Drosophila melanogaster: one gene and its partner. The protein of the gene in region 2 interacts with the protein of the main gene of each other region in a biochemical or structural test. Each region holds a gene or a part of one and is shown on either strand. Other genes may lie near its edges.

Region 1 (6,802 bases), on a different chromosome or scaffold from region 2:
CCACATCTCATCAACTAGTCTCTGAACTGCTCCCGAGGATCGATGATCGCTCTGAGAAGTGTGCGGATTACAGATGAGCGGGCCTATCGCATCGCATTCGCTCTGGATTGATTCAACTCGTCTCATCGGCCAGTCGGCGGGATCTTTGCTGTTTGCTTGTAGTTTTATTTAGGTATTGGTTTTTGCTAGCGTTGGTATTGTTAAATCTTTTGCGATTTCAATTGATTCATTCAGCGGTTACTGCTTGTTTATGCTTTTGCAACGGTTGCCAATTTCCACGATTAACCATTTAGAAAATGGTGTCCGATAGTCATTAACTAAGTTTTTCGATACGAGTTATGCTCACAGAGCGCTGGACGTTTGGTTGTACGCGTTTAACCATTTGCAAGATGGTGGTTGGCTTATACGGAGGGGATCAAGATCGAATGTTCGATATCGCGTGGCATTAACAAAATAATAACTAATTGTCGTGATAGCGGTGGATGCGAGGTGGAGAAGTACGAGCATTTTGGTTATGAACACGTTGATATTTACATCTTGCATGAACTTTTTGCAAACGGGACGAATGTCCTTGCTCAATGTGGCAGAGAACATCATCACTTGTTTGCCGTGCGGCGTGCTACGGAAAATCTCTTGAACGTCACGACGCATATCTAAAAGAATGGTTTGGTTATTAGTAAAACGTCCGTCATTTGGTGATTATTAGTCAACTTACCCAGCTGCTCCAGCATCTTGTCGCACTCGTCGAGCACAAAGTGCTTCAAAAGCTTCAGATTAAGTTTCTTGTTGCGAATGAGGGCGAGAATTCGGCCAGGGGTGCCCACCACAATATGCGGGGTGCCGCTCTTGAGGGTCTCCTCGTCCTTTTGAATAGCCATTCCGCCAAAGAAGACAGCCACCTAAATAGAAAACATATCGAATTAATATATAGTAACTATATAGTCGAACCAAACTTTTTGTTGAATTATATACAATGGATTAAAACGTAGACTCACCTTGACTGTGGGCATGTACTTGGAGAATCGCTCATACTCCTTGCTGATCTGGAAGGCCAGCTCGCGGGTGTGGCACATGACCAGGACGTGGCAGGTGTTGTTGTCCGACGGCTCCAGCTGCTGCAGCGTGGCCAGAACGAAGACGGCGGTCTTACCCATGCCGGACTTGGCCTGACAGAGGATGTCCATGCCCAGTACGGCCTGCGGAATGCACTCGTGCTGAACTGCAAGCGGAGAGCATCGTTAGTGACTGTACCTTTCGTCACTCCAGGTGGAGTGCAAGTACTCACCCTCCGAGGGATGCTCGAAGCCGCAGTCCACGATGGCGCGCAGGATCTCCGGTTTCAGGAGGAAATCGCGGAAGCCGGAACTGTGAATGGACACATAGGTGCCCTTGACATCCTTCTTGGGGGCCTCCTGGTTTTCGACCGCAGTGGTCTCGGTCTGCTCCTCATCCTCGTAGTCCAAAAGATCGTCATTGTCGGCCATTTCTGCGGCTTTCTTACCTTTAACTAGTTATCGGCTATAAATTCGCAACTAAATGCTGGGAAATAAAATGGGTGCGACTAGATAAGTTACATGTGTTTGTTAAAGAAAATGCCGCTTTTTTTTGCGGAACCGGTGCCGGCGTTCCCTCCGCCATTTTGTTTTTTCACCGCACCGCATTACATGTATTTCGAAATAAAACGAAATACCCATTACAAGCGACGATTTTATTTAGTGCAGTGTGATTTTCAGTGTCAAACTCACCTTTTGTGCACGTTTATCACTTTAAAATACAGCTTTTAAAGTGAAATTAACTATTTTAAAATCTTTAACGTGATGCGGAGGAAAAAACAGCGCAGAGCAGTGTGACCGAAGTACGTTTAAGAACTCATGCGAGCTGAGCCGGGTGATATCGTTAAGTTATCGATAGTTGTGCACAACAAATCCATTTGTAAGCTTCAACTAAAAAGTTTTTATAAAATATATGCCTTCTAACGCTTTAAATTAAAATGGCTTGTTGAGCTTAAATTTAATTTTTTTTTTATCATTTTGGGGTCAAGCGGTTCTTAGTCTTTTATCTAGCGCGGCGTTTGGTCACACCAGGCATGCCGGAAAGTTATCGATTAGTCTCTGAAACCATCGCAACAAATTCGATTACACGTTCCAGCGTCGGCCGCGTTTTCCTGCTGCAAGATACTTCATTTTCAAATTTGTGCATTTTCCGTTCGTTATAAAAAGTCAGGTGAGTTGCGCTGCTATCTACGAGCATTAGGAAAACTTGTAGAAAAAGTTGAAATAACTGATTAAGTGCCGAACAATAGAGGCGGCACTGTTTCACTCAAAATCGAAATAACCCCCCTGCCTGTATTAGTGTAAAGTCGCTGTAAATATTGAATTAAAATCGCCATATTGTGCAATTTTTGGCTCCTTATCAAATCGTTTAAAGTGCGTCGACTGGATTAGCTAAGCGTTGCGATTGATTAAACTAGTATTAGCCGCGCCATTTGCCTCCACGCCCATAAACAAACGCCGACAAACTCACTTCGTTTTCCTCGTCCGCTTTAGTACAGTCGCTTGAGTGGAAAGCGATGTGCGTGTGTGTGAGTGAGACGTAGAGGAGACTGCGAGAGAGAGAGAGAGCGCGTTAGAGAAACTCGTTTAGCTTCTGTTTTTGAGCGTTTTGTGCGTTTCCCCTCTTTCGTGTTCGGTTCTGTTTGGAATTTTATCAGGGCGCAAAAATAACATACCCTACACCGAACGAAAAAGTTCAAATATAAGTATTGCATATAAAACGCGTTTAGAAGGCACGCAATTGTGTTATTCAACTTTTCTTCAAGTGTTGTGTCCTAAAGAGGTCAGTCACAAAAATCTCACGTGTTATTCTGCACATTTCATTTGTCTTGCAGCGTGAACATGTCGAGCAAATCCCGACGTGCTGGCACCGCCACGCCGCAGCCCGGCAACACCTCCACCCCCCGGCCGCCATCGGCGGGTCCGCAGCCGCCGCCGCCGTCCACTCACTCGCAGACGGCCTCCAGCCCCCTCAGCCCCACCCGGCACTCGCGCGTGGCCGAGAAGGTGGAGCTGCAGAACCTGAACGATCGCCTGGCCACCTACATTGACCGGGTGCGCAACCTGGAGACGGAGAACTCCCGCCTCACCATCGAGGTGCAGACCACCAGGGACACGGTCACACGCGAGACCACCAACATCAAGAACATCTTCGAGGCCGAGCTGCTGGAGACGCGCCGTCTGCTCGATGACACAGCTAGGGATCGCGCTCGTGCCGAGATCGATATCAAGCGTCTCTGGGAGGAGAACGAGGAGCTCAAGAACAAGCTGGACAAGAAGACCAAGGAGTGCACCACTGCTGAGGGTAAGTGCGTGGAAACTGAATCGATAAGAAAACCTTATAATTGTAGGGCAAAGAAAGTAGAGTAATGATAAAATTAAAAGTAAGAAGAGACAAAAGGCGTGGTTTCAAGCAAGAACGAAACATTCATTTAGTTGCTGAACTGTATATAATGATTATCCCATGATATTCCTCACTTTCTGTGACAAAATCATCCCTATTCTGGCATTTAACGAACATTAATTGATTGATTATCCCAACCCGCAGGCAATGTCCGCATGTACGAGTCGCGCGCCAACGAGCTGAACAACAAATACAACCAGGCCAACGCCGATCGGAAGAAGCTTAACGAAGACCTGAATGAGGCGCTAAAGGAGCTGGAGAGACTGCGTAAGCAGTTCGAGGAAACGCGGAAGAACCTGGAACAGGAGACACTGTCGCGCGTTGACCTGGAGAACACCATTCAGAGTCTGCGCGAGGAGCTCTCGTTCAAGGATCAGATCCATTCGCAGGAGATCAATGAGTCGCGCCGCATCAAACAGACAGAGTATAGCGAGATCGACGGTCGCCTCAGCTCCGAGTACGATGCCAAGTTGAAGCAGTCGCTGCAGGAGCTGCGCGCCCAGTACGAGGAGCAGATGCAGATTAATCGCGATGAAATCCAGTCCCTCTACGAGGACAAGATCCAACGACTGCAAGAGGCCGCCGCACGCACATCCAATTCCACGCACAAGTCCATCGAGGAGCTGCGCTCCACTCGTGTGCGTATCGATGCGCTCAACGCCAATATCAACGAACTGGAGCAAGCCAATGCCGACCTCAATGCGCGGATCCGTGATCTGGAGCGCCAGCTGGACAACGATCGCGAACGCCACGGTCAAGAGATAGACCTTCTCGAGAAGGAGCTCATTCGGCTGCGCGAAGAGATGACGCAACAGCTCAAGGAGTACCAGGACCTTATGGACATCAAGGTTAGCTTTAATACTTGTCTAAAATCGTGTACGTATTAATACATAAATCTAATTATCCTGCTTAGGTCTCCCTGGATTTGGAAATCGCCGCATACGACAAGCTGCTGGTGGGCGAGGAGGCTCGTTTGAACATCACCCCAGCCACCAACACGGCCACAGTGCAGTCCTTTAGCCAGTCGCTGCGCAACTCCACGCGAGCCACGCCATCGCGTCGCACTCCCTCTGCTGCCGTGAAGCGCAAACGCGCCGTGGTCGACGAGTCGGAGGATCACAGCGTCGCCGATTACTATGTGTCCGCCAGTGCCAAGGGCAACGTGGAGATCAAGGAGATCGATCCCGAGGGCAAGTTCGTAAGGCTGTTCAACAAGGGCAGCGAGGAGGTGGCCATCGGTGGCTGGCAGCTGCAGCGGCTAATCAACGAGAAAGGTCCTTCGACCACTTACAAGTTCCATCGATCGGTGAGGATCGAGCCAAATGGCGTGATCACCGTTTGGTCGGCGGACACCAAGGCCTCGCACGAGCCGCCATCGAGCCTTGTGATGAAGTCACAGAAGTGGGTCTCCGCCGACAACACTAGGACGATTTTGCTGAACTCCGAGGGCGAGGCCGTGGCCAATCTGGATCGCATCAAGCGCATTGTGTCCCAACACACATCCTCCTCCCGGCTGAGTCGTCGTCGCAGCGTGACCGCCGTGGACGGCAATGAGCAGCTCTACCACCAGCAGGGCGATCCTCAGCAGTCAAACGAGAAGTGCGCCATTATGTAAAATCAAACGCAGCACAACACAACTCTTTCCTCTTTGCTGAACAAGACAAACAAAATAAGCACACACGAAGATCATAATTTAGAACCCAAAAACACACACACCGAGGTACAGAGATTTATTATTCAGCTAAGTTATTTTTTGTGGCCGCAGCGCCAATTATTTAATCAAAAACATTTGTGTAGAAGACATCCTGAATCTTCGTTTCGTTTGTACACTTTCGTTTTCCCTTTCTTAACAAATTCTATAGTTTATTGTTTCGATGTTTTTGTATTTCCGCGTTAACTAATCTATTGTAAACTTTATTTGGTATAAACTGGAGAGGCATGTTGCCTCTTTTTTATGCCACATAGAATTTACGTAAGACGTTCACTTCTTGTATTCGCGGCGGCAAGAACTTTGAAAATATTGCAAGAAAAACAATATTTTCGATGTACTTACGCTCCACCTACATATTTAGTAAATTAGTTTTTAAGCTATATCCCAGATAAACCAGTCGACGTCAGCAAACAACAACAAAAAAAAAACAACGAGCACGTAGTGAGTGATTTATAAGATACAGGTCAAGAGGATTAACTAAAGAAAACAAACGCTCCTGACAACAGACATATTTATTTAAGTATTTTTTGTACAATCAACATAAAATACATTATACATTATACATACATATACATACATACATTATATATATAGACTCATGCCTACGGAAGTGACAACCAGCCAGCAATATATATTTTTAGCCATGGCCATAGGGTTTACGATCCACCAAAACGGCTTTCTCCCGGTTTAGACCGGTTCTTGAGCTTCCTGCAGACATTTTACCGGACGAGCAACAATAAGAACAGCAACAACAACAACAGCATTAACAGCAACAACACAAATGTACAACAATTACAAAAGCAACAAAGAAGAAAAACGAAAGAAAATGGAAGTACACGTAGCGGCTCAGCGATCCGTCGCATTTTTTATGGGTGGGCGTGGTCGCGTTTTACGCCGGCCAAACAAATGCAACGCCCACACAGACTATTATACAAAAACTGATGAATACAACTAAATTTTAAGTACATCTACGTTTATGTATGTAATTGCTAATAATTTGATAATTAAAAAATAAAGAAACCATGTTTAATAAAAATTAAAAACAAACTTTGATTTAGCAATAGAGAGAAAGACATAAAAAAGTATTAAATAGTTTTAAAGCGTATACTGAAACCAATAAGCTCCTACGAATTTCGTAATAGTAGGGTACGCATTTCACTTTCGACGCCTGGTGGCCCTTTTTTCGTCACTCGCTTTGCGTTTCTATTCGTCGCCATGAGTTATTTTTGGAATTTTAATTTTTCTGCGTCTGTATTAGTTGCCTACATGCTTTTTCAATGCGTGTGTTCGCTCATAAACTTTATTTTTGAGTGACTTATCGATTATTTTTGAGTGCAGGACGTTTCAAAACCAACGTGCTTTCGCATTTATAAATATAATTTCTCTTCTTCTTCCGACCATGATTGTTTCTTTTAAAAATGTTAGGTGTCAACCCTGTCGATAGAGAAGAGAGCAAAATCCACTCAAACGAAACGCACTCAACGCGAGAGATGCGGTTAAAGTTCGTTCAACTGGCAAATGCAGTGACCGTTTAACCCGCGATAACGATAACAAAAGTATCTCAAGGTTGCTTGCAATTGCATTTCTGATTATTCTCTCTCTTTTTCTCTCTCTTATTCCAACCGCAGCCGCAAA
Region 2 (5,890 bases):
GCTTTCCATGATTTTTTCACCCGCCATTTGCTTTCTTTTCTGACAGTTTCCGCGTCATTTTTCTATGGCATTGTGCACTGAAATAAATTTGTAATATAACATAATCACACATACTGTTGTGCATAAATTTTAATATATTATTAGAGATAATAAACTTCAATTATAATTTATTTGTTTTTAAAACAAACAATTCTATAATAAATATACTATGTTTTTTCCAGTGTATTGCGAGCAGGTCTTTTGGAGGTGCAAGCCCAGACTTCGTCATTATTTTGGCATTATGTGTGTGGGGTGGCAAATGGAATGGCGAAACGGATGAGGTCCACCAAGTTTCGGTGGCTCGCAAACATTCGTAAATGTCATTAACAGTTGTAAAGGCTGCGTGCCACGCCCACAGCCAAGAACTTTATGCGCTCCGTCCGGAAAAGCGGAACAGCGGTAGGTGGTGGGTGTTCGCTGGATGGAGCGGGTATTTTTACACAAAATTACTTCTTTTATTCGCTGACTGACATTCATCATCATCATCATCATCATCGGCCGCAGTTTGCTGGCCGCTCATAATTTGTATTTTGATTCAACTTGAAATCCACTTGGAGTGACCTTAAAGTCTGGCAAGTGCTAAGTGAAAATCGATTTATGGAGCTTATCAGGAATCAACTAACTGACTTGATGGAAACATACATAATAAACAGCTGTCCTTGTGCGTTTCTTCATAGCATAGAAACTATGTTTTTTTTTTATTTCATATTTAAATGTAAAAAGTACTATCTATATGCATACCACATAGATTACAAGTATTGATTATATAAGATGTCTAGATCTTAAGCGCATAAGTTCGTACAGCTAGATGGGTTTTTTAACTATAATTATGTGTGTGAAAATTCATTTTGTTTAATGTGCGTGTGTCGGCGAGTGTAAAATCAAATTTTGTTACTAAAAGTAATGGGCTGAAGGGGGGGGGGGGGCTGTATTGGTGGTCTAGAACAATATGAATTATGAATACGTATTATATATACAAATTCGAAACATAAAATAAAAACAAACTGAAATCAAAATAAAAATAAGAATGGCCACAGAAAATAGAAGGGTCAACTCCCGGCTTAGTAGACCCTGGGCAGGATGTAGCTGCGCACCTGGGTGCTGTAGCGCTGCCAGGAGGAGTGATAGCGCGCCTGATTCCGGGCGTTCGCTCGGGTGGCGCGATGGAGCAGGAGCAGGATGATCAGACTAAGACCCAGAACTGGTGGCCAGGCCGGACGCAGGGCCATGGGAGCAGCCAGGGCCAGCAGGGCCACGATGTCGCCTAGATAGTTGGGCTGGCGTACCCATCCCCACATTCCGCTGAGCAGCAGACGGCTTCCCTGATACGTGTGAATAGTTTCGATGTTGGCGAAGATCGGACTTTGCGAGTTCAATCGGTATTTGTACTTGTAGGCGCAACTGAATCGCTTGACCAGCAATCCCAGAGACAGCAGAGCAGCCACTGCCAGCGGAGCATACCAGCAGGAGATGGGTACACGCTGCTCGTAGAAATACTTGGTGACCGCCGTCAGCAGATATGGAGTGGCTGCGTAGCGCAGGAGCAGCAAACAGCCGTAGCCTTCGTGTTGCAGCTCAAAGGATGAGCTCAAGTGGTGCTCGAAAATAATGGCGTCCAATACGTAGAACAGCAAGCAGCTGGCCGAGAACAGGGTGGCAGGATCATAATTTACATTGTTCCAGTAGTATTTGGCCTGGTAGAGATAGCCCTCCTGTTCACCCAGCTGCGGCTTCTGGGGCCACACGAGCGTCTGGTAGATGTAGCAGGTGGCATAGATCAAGGTGGTCACCAGGGAGAGACGGTACTGAAACTGTTTCCAATCCACGCGTCCTAGCCACTTGGGATTGAGCTGTCTGCCCAGCGCGAAGTCCACCACAAAGCTGCCAGTCCTGCCATAATCATTGGTCAGCGTTTGGCGCAGCACATTGTACTTGGCGGTGTCCACCAGCCAGTAGCTCCAAGCAGCTGCCACAAAGGCGCCAACGAGTCCAAAGATGCAGAAACGCAGATAGTGACGCAGAACGAAGGTGACCACTGGATACTTCAGATACTCGGCCACTCCACTGGCAATCAAAAGCGTAAGCGAAACTGCTAGACAATTAAACTTGTAGGTCTCGCGGGTGAGATGAACCCTTCGTCCTGGTAGCAGTGCCACCAGCAGAAATACCACCACCTGATAGGCGGCAAAGGCACCCACCACTCGTGGCTGGAACACCTGGCGCGTTAGGTAGTTAACATCCAGTAGTATACCCAGATTGAGGTGCTTAAACTGACAGGCGTTTCTGGCCGTACAGCTCCATGTCAAATAGTAGACGGCGGTGGGCAGAAGTAGCAGGAACAGGAAGGCGCCTAGCCAACCGCCAAATTCTCTAGGAGCCTTCAACTGACGGCAGGATATTTCCGCCGGTGTGGCCGATTTACGGGTTACATTGAAACTACGGAACTGATCCTCCTCCAATTCATCCTCCTCATCAATATCCTCTTCACCCGTAGAGTAACTACGCTTGGAGGACTTCTCATCGTCGTAGACGGATCGGGACACACTCCTACTATAACGACTGCCCTCTTCGGTGTTTGTCACTGGTGTTCCAGCTAGATTTGAGATTGTCTTCGACACCGATCTGCGCAGTCGTTCGGTTATGCGTTTGCGAATGGAATCCGTGTCCACCTCGCCGTCTCCCTCGGCACGGATCTCGATGCGCTCCGTGGTTGTGGTGGTGCTGCTGGTAGTGGTACGGCTGAAGCTGTTGCCGCTGTTCACGGAGCTTGTGTTAAATGCTTTGTTCGGTGCGCCGCTGGATGTGTTGGTGGTCAATGTCATGGGCAGATTGCTGGTTGACAAACGAATAGGCGATGATACCTGTAATTTAAGATCATAAGTAAAGATGTAATAAGTGATAAAACAAAGTCAGAAACTATATAACCTTAGAAGAATATACAAAGGGACATGATTGTACAAAAATATGTGGGTACTCAAAACTGGGTTAAAGGTGTTTTGAGTACACTTATCAGATTCCCCTCTATTTTTGTAATCAGCAGTTTAGCTCAACAATTACAAATCCGTTATCTTAGCCCGGAATTTCCTTATGGTAGCATATGAGGGCAGAACTCTAAGCTGATAAGCAGGGCGGTGGGTGCTGCTTATCAGCTTCATAAAACACACAGAAACAGAAGCTCGAAATTTGTAATAAAGGTAGGACAGTTACAGTTAATTATGTAGTTTAATTGGTTGTAACGATCGAAATTAAATAGAACTAATATTTCGCTATGCTTTTATATTGAAAGCAATTGATTTCAAAATTCTAAACTGCTGATGGTTGGAATACTGATCAAATATAGCTAAGCACTTATCCACCGGCCAGCAAAACTGGTTTGTGCTGGAGAACTCACCTCGGAAACCTCTGGGATGGGTGTGCGTGCCTTGATGGCGGCCTTGATGGGCAGCGAGGAACCAGATCCCGATCCGGTCAGCGGACCCACCGACGACCTCGGCCGGCTGGAGCGACGGGTGCGCGGGCCAAGATCGGGCGAGGGCGGTGCGACGACCTTGTTGCGTGACGGGGAGGCACGTGTCCGGGTGGCGGGACCAGCGGTGGCGGTGGCGGTGGCGGTGGCACCCGCAGCTGTCACGGAGCCCGTACGTCGGGTCACCGGCAGGAGGCTGGGCTGCTTGGACTGGGCCAGAAGTGGACCGCTGGACACGTCTTCCGTGCGACGCGGGCGTCTCAGGCGTCGATCCATGGTGTATGAATTGCGGTCGAAAAAACGTGCTGCAAAATGGATATGATCAGTCGTTGTGCTCGGCGAGTGCTGCATGTTATTTATAGTTTACAAAATACACACAATCTATTAATGTACTTAAGTAACGCTGTGGTTTTCTCTAGTTTCTTTGCTTTCTTTATTTCTCTAATTTTCTGTATTTATTTGTGTTTGCGCGCCGAAAGGAAAAGCGACGTCGCTGCCGCAACTGTACATTCCGCAGGCAGCGACGCTGGCAGAACGCGCTCTCTCTCTTGCTCTCTTCCTCTTGGCTGGCAGTTTTTAAACGATGTTTAACTTAGCTTAAACAGCTTTTAACGCTTCACAACTTAGTAACTCACTTCTGATGGGATTTATTTGTAGTTTTTCACTTTATGGGGCTATTGAAACGCCGTAAATTCAGCATAAATCACTTGATAAAAAAGACGCGCGTCTAGTTGTCGGCGGATGAGAAAATTTTGTTGTAAAATGAGCGCGGCCCACTGCGTTGGTATTTTTCAGTGTTGGCTAACGCCGAACGGCGCCTAACAGCACGCAGCGTGTCGTTAACAGTGGTTTAGTGGGCACTTTAAGACAATTTAAAATGTATTCAAGGTTAATTATTTTAAAGTATTAAAAGTACTTGTACTTATTTTTACATTCCCTTAAACATTAATCGAACCATACCAATGCGCAAGTATTATAAATCGATAGAAAACTTTTTGGAGTATTTGATCTTTGCAAAGACTAACAGTACTCATTTTATTTACATATGTAGGTTATAAAGACCAAAGTTGTCGCTTAAATCGAGTTGTAAATTATTTGTTCAAGACAGAAGAATACCGCAAACTTTTCAAGAAACAAAAACATATTAATAAAATGAATCAAAACAACTGAAATAACTTCTTAAATACCTAGTTTTCTACTGATATTGAGGTAGATAATTAATTTGGCTAAAAAGGAGCTAGAGTGCCGGATCTGTAGAGTGGAAGTAGAGTGACTGTCATTCCTGGTATTATTTAGCACATTCTATATCAATCTCCTCACACACATAACAAAAGGCAGGAGAAAAATTGTAAATTATTACGGATTTCTCGGACATTTTTCTGTCATTTCCCGAGCAATGTAAGTAGAAAGCATTCGAAAAACCCAATACGCAACAAACACACGCACACAAGCCGGACGAAAATGTTGCGCTTGCCAAATTCTGGTTATTAATTTGTTATGAAAACGTCTCTCTCACGGCCGCCTTCTACCTAAAAAAAAAAAATTGGACAAACAACGAAAAACCAAAAGCAAGTGAGGCCCATTGGATCAGTTGAAAGGATTCCCCAGGACATCGCCATGGTGACCCCGCAATCGCCGACGCCCATGTTCAATGGATTGGACGATGATCTCTACAGCGACGCCAAATATGCCCACGAGATTAACGACAAGATGCGGGTTCCCAAAAGAATAAAGGCCACCGGGGAGTATTCCAACGAGGATCTGCTGCTGTCCAACCAGAACGGGATGATCAGCTCCTGGAACTATCACGACAAGATCGACATGAATGTACCGGATCGAATTGTGGTCCTGGGCCACAATCAGCATCTGGAGACGCGATCTGCTCCGCGGGAAATCCAGCTGGAGAACTCCATTCTGCCCAAGAACCCATCGGTCGGATTGGTGCGCGTCCAGACGCCACCGCGCATTATCACCCTCACCGATCAACACTTTCCCTCGGCCTCCGAGGAGAGCTCGCCCATCCGGGCCAATGGTCATCATTTGTATGGTAATGATCTCGACGAGGACGCCGACGATGAGGAGGTCCATGCCACCCAATATGTGCGTGCCAATGGAGTCGCCCGTATGGGATTTCAAGGCAATGACACCAATTCCGTTGAATCGGACTCGCAGGTGAGTAAAATATGCCATACAAGCAACAATTTTCCTTTAGTTTTTCAATTCAATTGCAAGTGCTTGTAAATTAAATCGATGGGCAGAATGAGCAACTCTGTGATTTCTGTTAAAGAGCACTTCATTTGATGGAAGTCTAGACCCTAGCGATCCACACATGACGCAATAAAACAACCAAAATTGTTAATAGATAATAGATAGATAGCGATCACA

What was found.
Region 1: the proteins of LBR (region 2) and Lam form a complex in vitro, tested with the Drosophila melanogaster proteins (one study listed by BioGRID).

The regions. Positions count from the first base shown.
Region 1 is NT_033779.5:5,540,438-5,547,239, forward strand, and holds Lam (lamin), read left to right. Parts: upstream 1-2,042; 5' UTR 2,043-2,223; intron 2,224-2,341; exon of another isoform or gene 2,342-2,887; 5' UTR 2,888-2,894; coding exon 2,895-3,357; intron 3,358-3,600; coding exon 3,601-4,304; intron 4,305-4,369; coding exon 4,370-5,071; 3' UTR 5,072-6,205; downstream 6,206-6,802. Other genes in the region: Hel25E (helicase at 25E), read right to left, coding at 535-653, 716-899, 996-1,219, 1,286-1,484. UniProt on the Drosophila melanogaster protein: Lamins are components of the nuclear lamina, a fibrous layer on the nucleoplasmic side of the inner nuclear membrane, which is thought to provide a framework for the nuclear envelope and may also interact with chromatin.
Region 2 is NT_033778.4:21,718,868-21,724,757, reverse strand, and holds LBR (lamin B receptor), read right to left. Parts: upstream 4,025-5,890; 5' UTR 3,857-4,024; coding exon 3,431-3,856; intron 2,901-3,430; coding exon 1,101-2,900; 3' UTR 703-1,100; downstream 1-702. Other genes in the region: Tango11 (transport and golgi organization 11), read left to right, coding at 5,123-5,677. UniProt on the Drosophila melanogaster protein: Anchors the lamina and the heterochromatin to the inner nuclear membrane.